Alligator mississippiensis: one gene and its partner. The protein of the gene in region 1 interacts with the protein of each later gene in a pairwise test. Links are inferred from orthologs where the notes say so. Each region holds a gene or a part of one and is shown on either strand. Other genes may lie near its edges.

What was found.
Region 2: the proteins of TROAP (region 1) and DYRK1B interact in binary tests that used the Homo sapiens proteins (3 or more experiments, as listed by UniProt). The link is inferred for Alligator mississippiensis from reciprocal best matches to the Homo sapiens genes TROAP and DYRK1B.

Annotation. Positions count from the first base shown.
Region 1 is NC_081838.1:6,716,478-6,726,366, forward strand, and holds the start of TROAP (tastin), read left to right. Parts: upstream 1-5,539; coding exon 5,540-5,544; intron 5,545-5,750; coding exon 5,751-6,069; intron 6,070-6,153; coding exon 6,154-6,289; intron 6,290-6,577; coding exon 6,578-6,747; intron 6,748-7,302; coding exon 7,303-7,396; intron 7,397-7,474; coding exon 7,475-7,662; intron 7,663-7,858; coding exon 7,859-7,952; intron 7,953-8,037; coding exon 8,038-8,117; intron 8,118-8,340; coding exon 8,341-8,397; intron 8,398-8,605; coding exon 8,606-8,686; intron 8,687-8,834; coding exon 8,835-8,957; intron 8,958-9,150; coding exon 9,151-9,445; intron 9,446-9,604; coding exon 9,605-9,816; intron 9,817-9,889. Other genes in the region: PRPH (peripherin), read left to right, coding at 1,106-1,166, 1,456-1,551, 2,140-2,301, 2,412-2,537, 2,709-2,929, 3,001-3,050, 3,625-3,755. UniProt on the Homo sapiens protein: Could be involved with bystin and trophinin in a cell adhesion molecule complex that mediates an initial attachment of the blastocyst to uterine epithelial cells at the time of the embryo implantation.
Region 2 is NC_081838.1:29,158,713-29,168,527, reverse strand, and holds the start of DYRK1B (dual specificity tyrosine-phosphorylation-regulated kinase 1B), read left to right. Parts: upstream 1-5,681; 5' UTR 5,682-6,212; coding exon 6,213-6,396; intron 6,397-9,815. Other genes in the region: FBL (rRNA 2'-O-methyltransferase fibrillarin), read left to right, coding at 1,039-1,120, 1,593-1,727, 2,055-2,195, 2,335-2,429, 2,805-2,975, 3,077-3,209, 3,905-4,017, 4,317-4,462 and 1 more.

The DNA of each region.
Region 1 (9,889 bases):
CGGGGCCCGGGGGAGCCGGGGAGGATGATGTGCGGCCGGGGCTGCGGGTTCAAGCAGAGGTGCGGGGCGCTGCGGAGATGCTGAGGGCTGCGGGGCCGGGGTTGGGGGCTCAAGCAGAGCTGCGCAGATTCTGGGGGCTGCGGGGCTGGGGGCTCAAGCAGAGCTGCGGGACACTGCGGGGATGCTGGGGGCTGCGGCTCAAGCAGAGCTGCGGGACACTGCGGGGTTGCTGGGGGTTGCGGCTCAAGCAGCGCTGCGGGGATGCTGAGGGCTGCGGGCCTGGGGGCTCAAGCAGGGGTGCGGGGCGCTGCGGGGATGCTGGGGGCTGCGTGCTTAAGCAGACCTGCGGGTCTGCGGGGCCGGGGTGGAGGCTCCAGCAGAGCTGCGGGGTGTTGGGGGCTCCGGGGCCGGGCCGGGCCGGGCCGGGCCGGGCCGGGCAGGCTGCCGGGTGCGGCAGGGCGCGGGGAGGAGCGGGGGCTGCGGCAGGGGCGAGGCGGGCGGCGCAGACGCTGCAGCGGCCTCTCTGGGCTCCATGCAGCCTCATCCCCGCAGGGAAGAGACGCAGCCTCCCCCCTCCCCTCCCGTCCTGCTGGGCTGGTGCGGGGCAGGGGGGCTCAGCGGAGCCCAGAAGCCCGGGGATGGGCACAGGGTGGGGCCGGGGCTGGACCCTGCCTTTAGGGGCCTGGGGCATCAGGCTGGGACCCGTCCCCCCGGGACCTGAGGCCCGGGCAGAGCCGGCTGGGTGGGGGCTGCATCTCCATCCCGCAGCCGCAGGGGCGGGTCACTGCAGCGGTGGGGGGCAGGGAGGGGCGTGTGGCAGGAGCCGGGGCTTGTGTGTCCCCCCTCCCCTCCATGCCCGGGGGCTGCCGGGCGGGGCCGCCCGATTCCTCCTGCCTTGGGCACCTTTGAGGCCCCCCTGTATCCAAAGGGGGTGGGGGTGCTTTCCCCTGCTGCCCCGCCTTTCTGCCCCACTGAGCCCGGAGGGAGGGGGGGGCGGGCAATGGGGCACGTGGGAGGCGGGGAGGGAACGGGCGAGGCCCGGGGGGTCCCCAGGGCAGGGGCTGCCCGCATCTCCGGTCTGACCCCTCCGCTCCCCTCCTCGCAGGCTGGAGAACGAGACCCACAAGCGGGAGGAGGCGGAGAACAACCTGGTGCTGTTCCGGAAGGTGCAGGGCTAAGAGGGGGTCCATGGGGTGGGGCGGGGGAAGCCAGGTCCCACGCGCGATCTCGGACACGCGTGTGCACATATCTGGCCCAGCGGCTCCGCCGAGTCCCGGCTCGTCCCCGCCGGCCACACACGCCCCAGACCCCCCCCCCCCCCCCCGCCCAGCTGAGGGCGCAAGGACACGCGTGAGCACACTCGTGTCCTGCTGCCCCGGAGCAGCCCAATGGAGCTGGGGGGGGAAGGTGATCTGCAGCCCGGGCTGCTCTGAAACCCCCCCCCCCTCCACGCAGGACGTGGATGACGCCACGCTGTCGCGCCTGGAGCTGGAGCGCAGGATCGAGTCACTGATGGATGAGATCGAGTTCCTGAAGAAGCTGCATGAGGAGGTGGGGGGTGCGGACCTGGGGATGGGGGGGCAGGTGGGGGGTGAGGACTTAAGGATGGGGGCAGGCCCGGGGGTGCGGATCTGGGGATGGGGGGGCAGGTGAGGTGTGCTGACCTGAGGATGGGGGGGGGGTGCTGATCTGGGGATGGGGAGGACAGGCCAGGGAGGTGCTGACTCTGGGAATGGGGGAGGCAGGCAGGGGTGCTGGCCTGGAGGGCGGGGTAGCCCTGGGAGTGCGGACCTGGGAATCGGGAGGAGGGTGGCAGGTCTATGGGGCACTGACTCTGGAGATGGAGGGGCAAGTCTAGGGGGTGCTGACTTGGGGGGGGCACGCTGGGGACCCCAGGAGTTGAGCAAGCTGTGACCTGGCCCGGGTGGTCTGCAGGGAATCCCCCCTGCACACTTTGCAGCCGAGATGCCTTTGCGCCACCTGGTGCTAATGCACAGAACTGCAGGTGCCCGCGGGCCGCAAGAGGGTGGGGGAGGCAGGCTGAGCAGCCTCTTTAGGGGAGGGGGCCGGTGGTGCAGCGTTCCCGGGGGTCTGCCTGATGCTCTGCTCTGTCCTGGCGCTTGTGGTGGGCACGGGCAGGAGCTGCGTGACATGCAGGAGAGTGCCCAGAGCCAGCAAGTGCAAGTGGAGATGGAGCAGGTCAAGCCGGACCTGACGGCTGCACTGCGGGAGATCCGCACCCAGTACGAGAGCATCGCAGTGAAGAACCTGCAGGAGGCCGAGGAGTGGTACAAGTCCAAGGTCAGCACCCTGGAAGCTGCCCCAGGCCGAGGCCTGTGCTAGGGTAGCGGGTACAAGGCCCTGACACAGCTCCTGACCCCTGCCCTGATGGTGCCATCCCCACCCCTCAGTTCGCTGACCTGTCAGACGCAGCCAACCGGAACCACGAGGCACTGCGCATGGCCAAGCAGGAGATGAACGAGTCCCGGAGGCAGATCCAGAGCCTGACCTGCGAGGTGGACGGCCTCAAAGGAACCGTGAGTCCCTGGGGTGCATTGCACCCCACAGCAGGGTGCCCGGGCGCTAGGACAGCACCCCCTGCCACCTGCCTTGTGCAGCATGCCGGGGGGGGGGGCTCAGTCTGAAGCCAGTCATCCTGGGCCTCGGGGACTGTGAGCTCACCTCCCCCCACCTCTTGCACCCCCCAGAACGAAGCGCTGCTGCGGCAGATGCGGGAGCTTGAGGAGCAGTGTGGGGCGGAGATCAGCAGCTACCAGGACACGGTGAGGAGGCTGGAGCAGGAGATCCAGCACATGAAGGAGGAGATGGCGCGGCACCTGCGTGAGTACCAGGACCTGCTCAACGTCAAGATGGCGCTGGACATCGAGATCGCCACCTACCGCAAGCTGCTGGAGGGCGAGGAGAGCAGGTAGGCGCTGCACCAGGGTGGGCAGTGGGGCAAGGCCCGGGCACATGCTCACCACCCTGTCTGTCCCCCAGGATCACTGTGCCCATGCAGCTGATGCCCTCCTTCACCATGAAAAGCTCAGGTGAGTCCATGCCCTCAGTGCTGTGGGAGGGACGGGGGGAGGGCACAGTCTTGTGTGCCTTGTCCCCGGGCATCTCTGCCCCCTGTGCACCCAGGACCTTGCATGCCTGAGGCCTGGAGGGCAAAGGGAGAGGAAGGACTTGGAGACCTCCCTGATGGTCCCCTCTGCCCACCAGTGCCAGAGCCAGAGCCGGTGCCAGTGGTGGAGACACACACCAGAAAAATGGTTCTGATCAAAACGATTGAGACCCGGGATGGAGAGGTGAATGCCCCCCCACTGCCCAGCGCAGCCTCCACCTGGGACTGGGCCCAGCCCAACATTGGCTGGACTTGGGGGCAGGTACAGGGTGGGAGAAGGGACACCTGCGTTCTCTCCTGGCCCTGGCAGGAGCCAGGACTCCTGGGTTTCACTCAGGCCTGGGGACGCATGACCTAATGGCTAGAGCAGGGTCCGCTGGATGCCTGGGCTCCATCCCAGCTCTCCTGGGGGCGTTGCTTCCCCCTCAAGCTGCCACATGGGCAGGCCCCAGCCTGGCACAGAGGGACACCGGGTCTGACCCCTTGCTCCTTGGCAGGTGGTGACGGAGTCGCAGAAGGAGCAGAGAGCGGAGTCAGAGAAGTGACCCCAGCACCAGGCTCCGCGCAGCCCCCCACTGCAGCCCGCCCCCCACTCCCCCACGCCGCACCGGCCTTACACGACTACTGATACCTCTGAGCCCCGGCACCCCCGCACACCCAACTTCCACCGGCCCATGGTGCTCGGGGACGGGAGAGCAGAGCAATAACCCCCCTGGGTAGGGGCTGCTGGCAGGGAGGGACCTAGGAGTCCTGCCCTGCCCTGCCCCCACCCAGCTTCCCCTTCCCCTGCCTCCTCCAGGGGGCCTCCACCTTCTTCTGAAGCATCAGGACCTGCCTCACCAACACCACTGGCACGGGGAGGGGGGCAGAGCCTGGCACTGGTGGAGGCTGACACCAGGATCCAGGACCAGCTGGCGCCTGCAGGGCTGTGTCCTGGGCCTGGCGCTGCCTGGGCCCCCCACGGAGGCGGGTGCCGGCGCTGCTGCTGTTCAAGTGTGGTGCCTATAGCGAGTGCTTCCTGCCCAGAGCCAGGGTCCCACCCGGCCCGAAGGGCTGATACCAAAGCTGCCCCATTTTTATACTATGGCCCGTCTCCCTGCTTCCAGCATGGACTTGCCCCAGCACCCATCTCTGCCTCCTGCAGCCAGGCCCAGCTGCAAAGCTGTGCCCCAGGCCCAGGGTTCACCTAGGCCAGAGGGCTCGGGGTGGTGGCATCCATCTGGCACGAGTCTGGGCCATTCCCTGACCCTGGCTCTTTTCTCTGCAGCTCCCCCTGTTCTGTGCTCTGCTCCCCCTCTGTTACACTCGGTGCCTCTGCCTCAGCATCCCCTCCCTCTGCCTCGGTCTGCTCTGGACCAAACCAGGGGGATGTGACTGGGGCCACTCGGCCAGCTGCACCCCTTCCCCTCCAGCCCTGGGGGACCCCCCCCACACCTGCTGCAGGAGTTGCTGTGGTGCTCCTGGGTCTTCCCCGACCTGCCTGAACAGCGACGGACCCCCGCTGTGTATCCGCTTGTCCAGCCAATAAAGAGCCTAGTGAGGAGCTCTGCTCTGCTGTGTCCCCCTTGTGGCACCGGGGCTGGGGGGGAGGCAAGGCGGTGACTCCAGTGTTACCACAGTCCTGGGGACACTGGGGCTGCAGCCCATGGTGGTTGTGGCATCCTGTGAGCCGGGGCGTGGAAGCAACCTGCCATTCCAACTTACAGTTTAATTATAGTTTAATTACGGTTTACTTAATGACCGCCCTCCCCTCTGTGCTCTGGGCCAGTGGGGCCAAGTGCAACAGACTGGGCCATGTGACTGGAGGGTGCCCTGGCAGCGGGGGGGGGGGGGTGCTGAGGACTCCGGGGGGTCTCACCCAGCCCTGGGGGGTCTGGGCAGGCCTGGGGTCTTTGTTTCTGTCTGGGGGAGGTGACCTGGGCTGGGCAGGATGGGGCTTGTACAGCTCCTGGAACGGGGCGGGGGGGAGACGGGATCCCACCCGCGAGGGCGGTAGGGGGCAGCCCAGTGCCTGCCGTTGTGTCGGGCTGGGGGGTCTGCCGGTTCAACCCCGCCTTTGCCAGAATTAGTTAGCTGTCCCCATGAGCCCCCTCCTTCCCTCCACCGCTGGATTTCTGCCTGTCTCTTTCCCCTGGAAGGAGCGGACCTACTTTATAGCCGAGTAAACTGAGCCCCCCCCGCCCATTGGATTTCTGCCTCTCTTGTTCCCCCGAAGGAAGAGAACTTATTTTATAGCCGGGTAAACTGAGGCCCACCCCGCTCCCCCGGCCCGTTGGATTTCTGCCTCTGTCCCTGCCCTGGAAGAAAGGGACCCATTTTATAGCTGGGTAAACTGAGGCACGGAACGACTCGGACCCAAGGAGCGCGCCCCCAGTCTCTTCCTTCTCCCCCCGGGGTCGGGGCTAGATCGCAATGACGTCACTGACACGCCAGGTGTTCCCGCCCTCCATGCGCTAAGTGAAATCTCGCGAGATCACCCCTCCCCCGGAGGGAAACCCACGAATCCCCCCCCTTCGCCCCGTTCTTCGCTCCCTATTGGCTCGCTCTGCGCCCGTCCCCGCCCCCGCGCGGGCCAATGAGAGCCGGTTGCTGTTTTATGAACCGGCGGGCGCTGCCCAATCAGCGGGCGCGCGGCTGGGGCGGAATTCACGCGGGCAGGTGCGTCGCCCGTGGGAGGGGTTCTCCAGGGGCGGGGCCTCCATGTGGCGGGGGTGTCCCCGGTGCGTGCGTGGGTCCCGGTCGCGCGTGGAGCCGGCCGGGACCCGGAGCTGCAGCCGCCTCCGCTTCCTCCCGCGGGTGCTCGCGACCGCGCAGTGGGGCTCACCGGGTCTGTCCCTGCAGCCGCGAGTCCCGGAGCCCTGGCGGCGCGGAGAGACCCCCGCTCCCCGCGGGGCCGCGAGAACGGCCCGGGCCCCAGCGCCAGCCCCGGGCCCGGCGGCCAGGTGAGTGCCCGGGAGCAGCCCCCCGGCCCGGGAGCCGAGACGCGGGGCAGCGCCTGTCCCCGCGTGACCGTGTCTGCCCCGCAGGGCAAGGCCCCGAGGACGCAGCCCAGCCCCGGCCCCGCGGGCTGGTGGAGGAGCCGGCCCCGGGCCCCCCTGGAGGAGATCCAGCTGGGGGCGGGGGGGCAGAAGAAGGTGCCCGAGAGCAGCGCCGCCAGCAAAGGTATCGGGGCAGGATGCTACCCTGGCACCCCGGGTGCCGCCACCCAGGCTAAGCAGGGTGTGGGGCCGTCGGCCCCAGTGTGGGCAGGTCGGGCGGGGGGGTTGATGTCGTGTTTCTGGGGCTGCCCCCAGTCCCCTGCTCCGTGCATGGAGCTGCGCCTGCCCGGAGCCACCCCAGGACCCACACGTAGGGTCGTTGCTCTTGCTTCCCCGCTGCGTGCCAGCAATGCCAGCTCCAGGCCTGGCAGGGGCGGTGGGCCTGAGCCCTCCCTTGTGCTCCCTCCGGCAGATGCCAGTGCGGTGGAGTTCGTGGCTGACCCGGCGGCGCTGGCCGGCATCCTCTCCAACGTGAGGCTGTGCAGCCCTGTCCTGGGCCCGGGCGGGAAGCCCAGCCTGGCACGTCGCATCCCCCTGAGAGGCAGCAGGAGCAACTCCCTCCTGGCCCAGGGCAACACAAAGGTAAGTCCCTGCCAGAGTCCCCTGAGCCCATGCTGCCCCGCGGGCACGGGGTCATGGCGTCTGGGGTGAAGCTTGGTGGCTGTAGGGAGGTGCCTGGGATCCTAGAGGCTGGGGGAGGACAGTGTGGTCTAGTGGTTTGAGCGGGTGGGGGGTGCCTTTAGAAGCTGGAAATGAGATTCTGTTCCTGGTTTCTCTGTCCTGCCTCGGTTTCCCCTTCCTGAAGGCCTGTCCGTGTGTGTGCAAACAGGCCTGCACGCCCTTCCTGCTCTGGGCTGAGATGCAAGGTCCTTGGGTCCTCGGGGTGGAGAGGGGATGGGACAGGAGGGACAGGCCTCCTCCGTGCAGCCTCCTGCTCCACTCCCCGGCACACGCAGGCTACTGGGGTCGTCCCCCAACCCAGTTTGCTGCTTGGAGGGGCAGAGGCATCGGCCCGGGGGATTCTGGTGGGCGGCTGGGCTGGGCCCCCAGCGTAGGCGGTGGCTGCAGGCAACTGCATCCTCAAGGGGGTGGGAGGTCCCTTCTTGCAGACGGGGCTGACATCTCTTCTCCCCCCAGGGCAGCAGGGCCTTGTCGCTGAGCACCCGTGGGAGCGTCCCCCCACGGCGTGACTCTGCTCGTGGGTCCTGCCTCTCTGCCACAGGACAGGAAGGTAGGGCTGGCAGGACCCTGCCCGGGGCCGGGTGGGCTCAGCACCTGGACACCTGCCCTCACGCTCCTTCTCCCCCAGGTCTGGAGGCATGGGCAGCCCCCTCCCCCTTTGGCCGGGTGCCGGTGAAGAAGGCAACACCTGGCGCTCACCCCTCTCCCTTCGGCCGGGTGCTGGCGAGGAAACTCCAGTCCACAGTGTGTGCAGACGCACCTGGCACCCATGCCTCTCCGTCTGGCCAAGTGCCCGCGATGACGCCCCTGCCCACGGTGCGCATGGCAGGTGGCGGCAGGGGCTTGTGTGTTAGGAGGATCAGGGTGGGGGGGGTGTCTGCATGGCTGTTTGCTTGCTGTTCTGGGGGAGGGGGCTGTCCAGGCCCCCCGCACAGCTGCAAGGCCGGGAGGCAGTGCCAGCTCCCACCCCTTCTCAAGGCCAGGAGCTGATGCTGCCTTCTTCCCCCCCCAGGGCAGCACGGCCTCTCTGCTTGGCACCCACGAGGGCATCCCCACAAGGGGTCACTCTGCTCGGTTGTCCTGCCTCTCCACCATGGGCCAGGAAGGTAGAGATGGCGGGGCCTAGGCTGGGTGTGGGCTCAATGCCTCTCGCCCCCATGGCGTCCTGCTCTTACGCTTCTTCTCCCTCAGGTCTCCCCCGGGTACCCCACACATCCGACGTCCACTCCTCCCCGTTCAGCCACACGCCAGTGACGCAGCCCCAGTCCCCGGTGCGTCCAGCTGGGTGGGAGCAGGAGCTCGGGCTGGGTGGGTGGACCGGGGAGGGGAGGGTCTGCATGGCTTCTTGCTTGCTGCCCTGGGTGGGAAGGATGCCCCCGGGGCCTTCTCAAAATGGGATGGGGGAAGACCCCACAGATGCCTGGGTCCTCTCCACAGGCCAAGCAGGGGCCAGAGGCTCCATGCTCCCCACGTCTCACCATGCTCTCTCCCCAGCCCAACCCCGCCTGTGCCAGGGAGATGGGGGACAGGCACCAGCTACACGTGGAACAGGTGGGTGCACATCTGGGGGGGGCTCCTGACTGGAGGGTTCTGAGGATGGGGGTGCCCTGTCCCCATTTTGTGGGTGGGGGGCTTTGACCCTCTGTCTGATGCTGCTTCTGCTCTGGGGGCATGGTCTGAGCTCTCCCAGGCTCAGCTGTGGGGGGGGTGGGAGATGGAGCAGGACTAGGGGTTTCAGCTGACGGGACCCCCTCCACAGACCCCAGGCAGGTGTGGAGCTGGGCAGCCCTGCAGCCCTGACGTGGGAGGCAGCGACCCCCGTGAGACAGCCCAGCCCTGGGTGAGTGCCTGGTGGGGGTCGGGGTGGGCCTGACCAGGGCTGGGAGGTGTCACCTGCAGCATCCTGGGGCACCCCCTAGGTCCCCTGCTTCCCAGATGGGGGCAGGTGGTGGCTACTGGCCCCACACCCTGACAGCGCCTCCCTGCAGGAGAAGGTTGCTGTGCGGCGGCTCTTCGAGGACGAGGACGAAGACGGCCAGGGCGACCTGGGCGGCTCCCACAGCCGAGCACCAGCCCAGGTGGGCACCCCCCACAGCATCAGCAAGGAGCAGGTACACCCTCCCAGGGCAAACCAGTTCTGTGCGTCAGCACAGGGGACAGTGGGGGAGGGCTGCCCCCTTGTAGCAGCTGGGGGGTGGCTGGCTGGGGTGGGTGTATGGGGAGCTGGAGGAAAAGGTCTATGCTGGGGTGGGGTGACCTTGCCCCCCACCCCCATGTCTGACTCCCGTTCCCACCCTCTTGCAGCATATCCAGCGGTTCCTGCAGAAAGCAGTGGAGGGGGTGGATGACGCCACCCCACTGGACGAGCTCCATGCCCTGCTGGCTGCCTATCCCCCCTCCTGCCTGCCCGTGCCCCCCTGCTCTGCCCCTGTGCCTGGCCTGGTGCTGGGTGACCATCGTCTAGATCCCACTTCCAGGGCAGTACCGCAGGGTGGCACTGGGGGCTTCCAAGGGGCAGGAACCACCTTGACCTTCTCCTCATTACGCCCGCTCTGCGCCAGCCCCCCCATCCACTCCCTGCGGGCCCCCGGCCCCCCAGGTATGGTGCTGCGCCTGCCCACCCAGGCTCTTCCCTCTTGGAGATGCCAAGGGTTGGGGATTGCCTGGCTCAGGGGGGCAGGGGCACTGCTTTGTGCCCCCCGTGGCAGGTAGGAATGGGGGGCCGGGTCTGGCTGCTGACCATGCCCGCTGCCTGCAGCCGCAAGGACAATGCTGGCCGTGCGCCCCTCCCGCCTGGCCCTGGCGAAGCAGCGGCTGGACTCCCTGCTCCGTGCGCCCCAGCGCTTCCTGGACGCCTGCCTGGACGATGAGTGCGCCTTCTACACCGGCCGTGCGCCTGGCACCCGGCCCCTGCCCTCCCGCACCTGCCCCAACCCCGTGGCCCTGCAGCTGGAGGCAAAGGATGCTGCGGTAAGTGGGGCCTGGTCCTGGGACAGCACCAGGGGCTGGTGGGGCAGGGCAGGGGGTGGGAGCCAGGATCCGC
Region 2 (9,815 bases), about 22 Mb from region 1:
AGGGAGCGCAGGGCAGGGAGTGGAAAGCAGAGCAGTGGATGGGGCAGGGAGCACAGGGCAGGAAGCACACAGCAGAGCAGCTGATGGGGAAGGGAGAACAGGGCATGGAGCGGAAAACGGAGCAGTGGAAGGGGTAGGGAGCACAGGGTGGGGAGCAGAAAGCAGAGTGGACAGACCCGACACCATGTGATGTCACAGAGAGGGCTGACATCACATGCGAACGGCACAATGTCACAGCTGATATGGGAATCTGACATTGGGCTGAGAGCTGAGTACATGGGACATAGCAGAGACCCGATGCCGTGTGACATCCCAGAACTGATGTCATATGGCAACGCAGAGAGAGCTGATATCCCAAGAAATATTTGATGTCACGTGATACCCAACAGCTGATGGCATAGGACATAACAGATCTGACGCCACCTGACACCGCGGAGAAAATGGCCTTCCCCAAGAGACCTTTCTTTCATCCTATGACATCACAAGGAGAGGTGACATCACAAGAGACACCTGACATCGTGGGACATCCCAGAGAGCTGACACCAGAGAAGTGATGTCACAGGACACTGCAGAGAAAGCTGCCTCTTCTGACAGAACTTTTGTCCTATGACATCACAGAGAGAGCTGACATCACAAGAAACATCAGCTATCATGTGACATCCCAGAGAGCTGACCTCACGGATCTGACGTCCTTGCATGACACTGCCTTCCCTCAGCCACCTTTCACCCTGTGACATCACAGGAGACACCTGACCTCCCCCAGAGAGCTGACATCAGACAGCACAGATCTAAAGTTGAGAAAAACTTTCATCCTGTGACGTCACGGGGAAGGCTAACCTCACAGTCTAGCACCACGTCACACCCCAGAGCGGTCCAAAGACAAATTACTTGACGTCACAGGGAGAGAGAGAGACAAATGTGACGCCACAAAAATCGCCCCCCCTCCCCCGCCCCGCAAGCACGTCCTCTGGTCTTTCCGCTGACGTCACCGCGGGCCGCGAAGCCAACTTCCGGTGTGGGCGCTCCGGGCGCCCGCGCATGCGCATCGCGCCCCGCGCCAGCCAGCACCGAATCCAGCGTGGTCCGGCCCCGGGGAGCGCACGTGGGAGCATGAGGCCCGGTGAGCGCGGGGCGGGGGGGGCGGGTCCTTGCAGCTGCTGCCGGGGGGGGAGCCCCCCCACGCGATCCCGGGACGCCTGCCTTCTCAGCCTTGCGGGGGGGGACTGTAGCTGGGCAGCCCCCCCAAGCTCGGAGCCCCCTATTCACTGGGGGCAGGACTCCGGGGTTCCGGGGGGGGGGCTTGGATCAGGTTGGGGTGGGCAGCAGACTGAGGGTGTGTGGGGGGATAACACCCCCCAGCTGAGCCCCTCCCCCCCAGTAAGGATAGTTGATGGGGCTTGGAGGTGGTGGGGTACTGGGGGGGTCCTTATATGTCTGGGAAGTCAAAGGGGCTGGGGGCATGTGGGGCAGGTGACATTGGGGGGACCTAGGAGTTGAGGGGGGAGCATTGGGGAGGGGGGCTTGCGTGAGGGATGGACTTGGTGGGGGGGAGGGGGGCATGTCTGACCTCCCCCCCTCCTTTCCACCCACAGGTTTCAGCCCCCGTGGGGGACGCGGCGGGTTCGGGGACCGTGGAGGGGGACGCGGCGGGTTCGGGGACCGTGGAGGGGGACGCGGCGGGTTCGGGGACCGTGGAGGGGGACGCGGTGGCTTCCGGGGAGGCAGAGGTGAGTTACATTCTCCCCCATCCACTCCTGGTTCGTGCTGGGAGAATCTGGTCAGCTGTCCCATCAAGCTTTGGGGCAGAGGGCCAGGCTCAGGGGTTGCCCTGCTGTGGGACTCTGCTGCCCCCTCTCGTTTTCATCTTAGCCAGGCCCCACCCCACACTTCCTGTCCCAAACGGCTCCCCCTGCCCCTCCACTTCCTGTCCCAAAAGGCTGGGACCCCATTTACTATCCTTACTATCGCAAAAGACTCCCCCGTCCACACTCCCCTACTTGCTGCAGGGTCCTGCCCACACTGGACCACATCCTTCTCCCCCTTTTCTTTCCCAGGTGGCAGTTTTGGCCGAGGAGGTGTTGGCGGCCGAGGAAGAGGAGGGCCTGGCCGGGGCGGCCGTGGTGGGGGGCGGGGTGGGGGCCGGGGGGGCTTCAGAGGGGGCAAGAAGGTGACAGTGGAGCCCCACAGGCACGAAGGTACTGGAGTCTGGGGCAGGGGCTGGCGCTGGGGGGTAGGGACACCTTGGCGGGGCTTGGGTTGGAGCCTGGGGTGGGTGGGACCATGGGGGGGTGCTATTCTGGCTCTGACCCCCTCCCCATTCGTAATCCCTTCTAGGGGTCTTCATTTGCCGGGGCAAGGAAGATGCACTCGTGACCAAGAACCTGGTGCCGGGCGAGTCAGTGTATGGGGAGAAGAGGATTGCGGTGGAGGTACGCAGAGCCTGGGGGGGAAGGGGATCAAAGGCGGGTGGAGGTGTCTGGATGGGAGTGTCAAGAGGGATGTGGTGGGGATGGGGATCAGGATGGGGGCATTGGGGTAGGGGGAGGTTTGAATGGTGGTGTCGAGGGGGCTGGTTCTGGGAGGGGGGCCCCCAGTGGTTATGTGGGGGGCAGAAAGGCTAGGCTACTGGGTCCCAGAGGGCACTGGGCACACCACTTCCAGGGGCCGATCCAGGAGGCATCTTGGTACCCAGGAGTCCAAGCTGGGGTGAAAGGGCCCTCAGAAGGCCCCAGGGGTTGGGGAAAGGTTTGAGCAGACTCCCTCCCCCCCAGCCCTGATTTGTTCCCTCTCCCACCGCTGGGCAGGATGGCGAGGCCAAGGTGGAGTACCGGGCCTGGAACCCCTTCCGCTCCAAGCTGGCAGCCGCCATCCTGGGGGGCATCGACCAGATCCACATCAAGCCGGGCGTCCGTGTGCTGTACCTGGGCGCTGCCTCAGGCACCACCGTCTCCCATGTCTCGGACATTGTGGGCCCCGTAAGTACTGGGACCCCCTACCCTGGATGGGGGGGGGGGGGGAGGCGAGGGGGCAAAAGGGATTACCCCCCCCTCCAGCTTAACCCCATGCGCCCCCCCAGGAAGGCCTGGTCTACGCTGTGGAGTTCTCCCACCGCTCCGGCCGTGACCTCATCAACGTGGCCAAGAAACGCACCAACATCATCCCCGTCATAGAGGATGCCCGGCACCCCCACAAATACCGCATGCTGATTGGTGAGTCCCCCCTAGGTCCCCTCCCCCCCTTGACTCCTCCTACCTCCCCCTGCCAGTCGTTCTCCCCTGGGGTCCGGCTGCACTCAGGGGGGCCCTGCCATTGGCTTTCCCCGGGGCAGAGGGGTGTCCTGGGAGCCCCCAGACTCCAGAGTCCTCTGTTGCTGTAGTGAAAGTCTAGCTGGTCTTCGGGTCTTTGTACTGGGGATCCTTGAGACCCCCTTCCCCCACCTCCCCCTGGACACTTGCGTTCTCTGCAGCCACTGCTGAAGCCTGACCAGGCACGGGGTCTTTGTATTGGGGCTCCCTGGGAGCCCCCAGACTCCTGGATTCTCTCCTGCTGCTAAAGTTCAGTCGGGCATGGCATCTGCCAGTCGGGGCTCCTAAGACCCCCCTGGATGCCTGGATTCTCTGCAGTCGCTGTTGAGGCCTGGCCAGGCTTGGGGTCGGCCTGTCAGGGCTCCTCTGGGGGCTCCAAATTCCTGGGTTTTTCCTGCTGTTACTGAGGCTCGTCTGTGCACAGGGTCTTCCTACCCGTGCTGTTCAGGGACCTGCCTCTCCCCTGACAACTGGGTTTCCTTTCCCAGTGCTGATATCACAAGACAGGTGGAGTTGGGGGGGGGTGTAGTTGATTTGCTGGGGGATCACAGCGTCCCCTGATCTCTGGGTCATGACTCACAACCATGCCCCCCCTCCAGGCATGGTGGATGTGATCTTTGCCGATGTGGCGCAGCCTGACCAGTCCCGTATTGTCGCCCTCAACGCGCACAACTTCCTGAAGAACGGCGGCCACTTTGTTATCTCCATCAAGGTAATGAGCATGCCTTCTCCCCCAGACACAGACCCACCCCCCACCTGCAGCCCACTCATTTCCCCTCCATGGGAATCAGACTCCTGGGTTGGCTTCTGCTGCCATTAAGACCCAGCTAGGCACCAGGGTGACTCGGTTCTTTCTCCCACTGTGGAGAAATGGGGAAGCCTTTTGGCCTAGAGGGTAGGGGTTGGGGAGACTCAGGAGGGGGACGCACCAGAGCTTGGTGCGTGTGGTTGGGCAGTGGGCTTTGGCCCGGCAGGGCCAGGGGGCTGACTCTGACCTTGGGGGTGTCACAGGCCAACTGCATTGACTCAACGGCGGCGCCCGAGGCCGTGTTTGCAGCCGAGGTGAAGAAGATGCAGCAGGAGAACATGAAACCACAAGAGCAGCTCACACTGGAGCCCTACGAGCGTGACCACGCTGTGGTGGTGGGCATCTACCGGTATGGCAAAGGGGCTGGGGGGGGGCGGGGGGGTCACTGGGTCCTGGCCCACATTCCAGGGACGGGGGTGGAGAACTGGGGTCTGAAGTGGAGGAACTTCCCAGTGCCAGGGGAAGGGAATCTGTGGGGGAGGTCTCAGGTGGGGATCCCCTGTGTGCAGCGGTAGAGGGGGGATTGCCTGGGAAGAATCCCCCATCTCAGGGGTCTCACCTGCCCCCATCTCCCTCCCTTCCAGGCCTCCCCCCAAGGCGAAGAAGTAGCACCTCCATGGACCCCACCCTCCTCGCTGCCCCGCCACCGAGGCGCTATCCAAGGAACCCAGGAGTTCGGGGGGGGCCCAGCCCCAGGGTGGTTTGGGTCCCCCCTTCCCCAATTTTTATTTTTTTTTGACATTTCCAGATGTATTTTTATTAAAATATGGGAAATCAGCAGCAGAAATCGGTGCAGCTGGCAGGGGGCCTCTGGTTGCAGCCTCCTGCCCTCTGCTAGGGGCAGGGGTTGTTTTGGGGGGGGGGGTGATATAGGGGTCCTCCACCCCCCCATCTGTCTGGTTTCAGGAGGAGAGAACAGGGTGACTTTCCCTTTTCAAGGGTTGAGGGACTGGGGGGAGGGCAGCTCTTTGGGGGAAGGAAGGGATATTGGGTCTTGGATGCCCCCCCTGCCTACTTCCCTGTACACCTGGGTCCCTGTCCCTGGGTCGGTGTTGTCGTCCTCCCCCGCCCTGGGTGCCTGTTCCCCCTGCCTGGGATATCTGGGTCCCTGCTCCCCCTTGTTGCCCTTGATATTTGAGGGGGGGTTAGGTTGGGGACCTGTTTTTTGTGGGGTGGGGGGGAGACAGTGCAGGGGAGGGTCTGTGCTGGGGGTCTTAGTTATCTCTGGTGGGGGGGGTCATTGGTTGAGGGGGAGGTCTGATTTCTCAGAGGTGCTGGGGGGGCTGTTGGGGCCCTGGAGGGGATGGTGAATGTTGTGGGGGGGTAGTTTTTTGATGTGGTAGGTTTTCCTGGAGCAGGGGTTGGGAGGGGAGAGCACATTTAGGAAGGTCCTGCTTTCCTTGGGCTGGAGGAGGGGGGGCCCCAGGAGGGAAGTGGGAGGGGGGGTTTTTTGGCGGGGGGAGGCTGCCTGGCTGCTTGGGGGGCGTGGGGGGGAACACCTGCGGGGCTTGGGGGGGTGGAAATCCTCAAGGGGGAGTGACTATTTGAAGCCCCATCCCTTTGGGCGGTGGGCTCTTCCTGGCTGGGAGGGAAAGGGGCGCGTAGACCAGCCTCCCTCCTGCGGTCACGTGAAAGACATCAGGTGGACCCCGTTTGTGACGTCATCCCAGCGTACTGCCGGCCCTGATGCGCAGGAACGCTTTAAGAGGAGACTCCGTCTCAGCTCATGCGCAGAGGATGCGTGTGCACCGGTACCCCGTCCGATGGGGCGTCTTGTGGCCTATGCATGCGCAGGAGGGAGGGTGGCGGGCGCCTCTAGTAGCCGGCCCATGCACAGCATCCGCATCACGTGTCACCCCTCCCTAGCCAGCAGCTGCGCATGAGCAGAGCGTGACCGCCCTCCCTTTAGCCGGGCACAACTCGTGCGCAGCTTGTTCGTCATATTCCCCCATCCAGCTCGGCGCCGCGCATGCGCATCCTATGACTGACATGTCCCTCCCCCACTGTGCGTAGCGCATGCGCCGCCTGAGTCACGTGGTCCGCCCTGCCCAGCCGATCGTTGCGCATGCGCAAGGGGAGGGTCGGGGCGGTACGCGCGCATGCGCAACGAGCCGGTGGCAGTGCCCGCGCGTGCGCAGAGAAGCCGGGGCGGTGCACGCGCGTGCGCATTCGGGCGGCGGTGGCGGCGGTTTGTTGTGGCCGCCATTTTTTGTGGCATTACTGGGAAATCCCCGGGAGCCGCCGCCGGGCCCGGCCCGCGCCCCCCCCCGGCCGCTGCCGCAGGTGAGCCCCGCCTCTCAGCCGCCTGGGGCCCGTCCCCCCCCTGGGAGTCCGGACTCCCGGGTCCCCCGCCCCTCCCCCACCCCCGGCCCGCCCCGGACGCCTGGGTCCCTCCTCCGAGTTTGCCGGGACGCCTGGGTCCTGCCTCGGCCCGCCCCTCCCCGGCGCCTGGGTCCCGTGCCCGCCCCGCCCCGCCCCGCCGTACTTGAGAGCCTGGGTCCCCTGCCCCGGACACGCGCGCCTGCCTCCCGCCCTCCGCCCCGCGGCTCCTCGGCCCCTCCGCCCTGCCAGCCCTCAGGACCAGCCCGGGTGGGGCAGCTCTTCTCCCCGCCCCCCTGGTGATATGACCTTATGTGACCCCAAGTGTCTGCGGGGGTGTCTTTTCTCATCTCCTCTCCTTTGGGGGTTTGGCTGTCCCACGTAACCCCCCTCCCCGGACACTCGGGTCCCTTCATTTGTTCCTTCCCCCACCGGGTCCCTGTCCCGGTCACCTGCCCCCCCCACTGCCCCGGATGCCTGGGTCCCATCCTCTGTTGTGTGTCCCCCCACCCTTGAGATCTTGTTATCTGTCTCCTCCCAGACCCCTGGGCCCCTGTCATGTCCATGCCTCCCCACCCCCCACACATGTTCTCTCTGTACTGCCCCGCAGGCCTGCGTCCTTCAGACACCTGGGTCCATGGCTCCCCCCTCCCAAATGCCTGTTTTCATGTTCCCCTACTACTGCTCCTCCCCCCCCCCATGTCTGGGTCTCTATCCTCTATCCTCCCCCCCCAGCACCTGGGTCCATGCTCCTATTCCCCGTCCATGCCTGGGTCCCTCTCATCTGCCCCCCACCATGCTTGAGATCCTGTTCTCCCCCCCCTGCCCCAGACACCTGGGTCCCTATCATCCATCTTCTCTCCCCCCCCCCCCCCCAAAATGCTGGCTCCCTCTCATCTGCCTCCCGGCCCCCCCCCCCCCCCAAACACTTGGGTCTGTGCCTCCCTACGGCCCTGTCTACATTTCTCACTACCCGGAAAGTCTGAGTCCCTGCCCTCTCCCTCCCCATGCTTGTCCAGACTCTTGGGCCCCTCTTCGGGAGGGGAGCTGGGCACCAGCCTCTGCTTTTTGGGGGGATCCAGGGTTTAGGGGGGATGTTCTGGCTCTGGCTGTGGGGGCTTGGGAGGGGACCTGCTTTGTGGGGGGGGGGGGGGGAGCACTGGGCTCACACCCCCCACCCCCATATGGTAGAGGCAGCTGTCAGCTTGTCCCGATTTTTCCAGGGCACCTTCGCCAGCTGCTTTGTGACCCATTTTGGGCTCCTGGCAGCTGGGGAGGGCAGCCAAGGGGGAGGTCTGGTCTTGACCCAAGGGGGTGAGGAAGGCTGGGACCCTGCTCCTTCCTCTGTGCTCAGCTCCATGCCTCAGTTTTCCCGGTTGTGTTATGCGGGGCACCTGAGGCTCTGGCGAGGGTGCACTCACGCCCCTGGGAGCAGATCCCTCCCAGGTGGGGGTTGGGTGGCATCTGACCAGAAGCCTCTGGGGGCTGTACATACAGCACTTGGCATGGCATGGCCCAGTCCCGCATGGGGGCAGGCATGCTGGCTCAGATGTACAATACCTGGCACCTTGGGGTGGGTACATTGGCTGCTGTCCAGCCTCATCAGGACGATGTCCTTAACAAGCATTCAGCGGTAGGCAGGGAAACTGAGGCATGGAGCATGAGTGGGTGGCGTGGAAACTGAGGCACAGAGTATAACCAGCATCCAGAGCATAATGAGCATCCAGCGGGTGGTGGGGAAACTGAGGCACGGAGCCCCATCCCCCTCCAGAGCCCAGTGAGCACCACCGAAGGGCTTATGGGGTCCTTAAAGGGCCAGCAACTCGCTGGGAAACGGGCCCCTCTGGCCTTTCAGGGATGTGGCGCAACGAGCAACATGTACAGCACCGGGCTCGGGGTGGCTGGAGCTAGCCTTCTTCCAGGGGGCAGACCCTGCATGGCTTTATGCTTACTGGGGGGGGTCTCAGAGGTCGGTCTGGGGGCATTTCTGGACCCCCTGGGCACTTGTGGCTGCAGTGTGATCACAGCCACGTACAGCTCCAAGTGTGCTAGGCATGGGCAGGCGTGAGCCTGCCTCCTACCACTGGGCAGAGCCTGTGTGGTATCGTGGATACATGGGTGGGGCACAGAGCTGGGACCCCCAATGTATCTGGAATGAGTCACATAGGGCTCCAAGTGTGCTTGGCACAGAATGGCCAGATCCTACCTGCATTCTGGTGGATAGAGCCTGTGTGGCATCATGGGTACCTGGGTTGGGGCATAAAGCCAGGGAGGGGGTTACTGAGAAACGCCCCACTGTGCCTGGAGTGGGGTCAACCCCGAGTCGCACGTACAGCTCCAAGTGTGCTGGGCACAGGACAACCTGATCCTGCCTCCATCTGGAGGGGCAGAGCCTGTGTGACATTGTGGGTGCCCAGTGGGGGCACAGCCAGGCTAGGACATGCTGAGTGATCCCCCTGTGTGGCTGCAGTGAGATCAGCTCCATGTACAGCTCCAAGCACACCAGGCACAGGGTGGCCTGATCCTGCTTCCTTCTAGTGGGCAGAGCCTACTTGGCAGTGTGGGTACCCAGGATGGTCACAGAACTGGGGTGGGGGACCCTGAGAGATGCCCCCCCCCATGTACCTGGACTGGGATCAGCCCTGAGTTGCACCTACAGCTCTGAGTGCACTGAACACAGGGCGCTTAATCCTGTCTCCTGGCAGTGGGCAGAGTCTGTTTGACTGTGGTTACCTGGTGGGGGGGTCTACAGGGCCTTGAGGGGACCCCCATGTGTCTGGAGTGGGATAAGCAATGAGCTGCCTGTATGGGTCTGTGTGTGCCAGGCACAGGCCTGCCTCATCCTGCCTCCGTTTGTGCCCCCCATCCTGCTCCGTTTGTATGTGGCATCATGGGTGCCCAGTGGGAGCACAGAGCCAGGGTAGGAGGTGCGGTGCAGAGTGACCCCCTGTGCAGCTGTGGTGACATCAGCTCCATGTACAGCTCTGAGCACACGGGGCGCAGAGTGGCCTGATCCTGCTTCCTTTCACTGGGCGGAGCCAGCATGACATCACGGTTACCTGGTGGGGTCACAGAGCGGGGTGGGGGGCACTGAGGGGATTTCCCCCCCACTTTCCCCATGTGCCTGGAATGGGATCAGCCCCAAGTTGCACATAAAGGTCTGAGCGCACTGTGCATGGGATGGCCTGATCCTTCCTCCCTGTGGGGGCGGGGGGGGGGGGGGCAGAGCCTGTGTAGCATCCCTGGTGGGGGCGGGGGGTACAGAGCCGTGGTAGGAGGTGCTGAGTACCTCCTGTGCAGTTGTAGTAAAATCAGCTCCACAGGCTTGCCTGATCTTGCTTCCTTTCAGAGGGCAGAGCTTGTGTGGTGTCTTGGTTACAGGG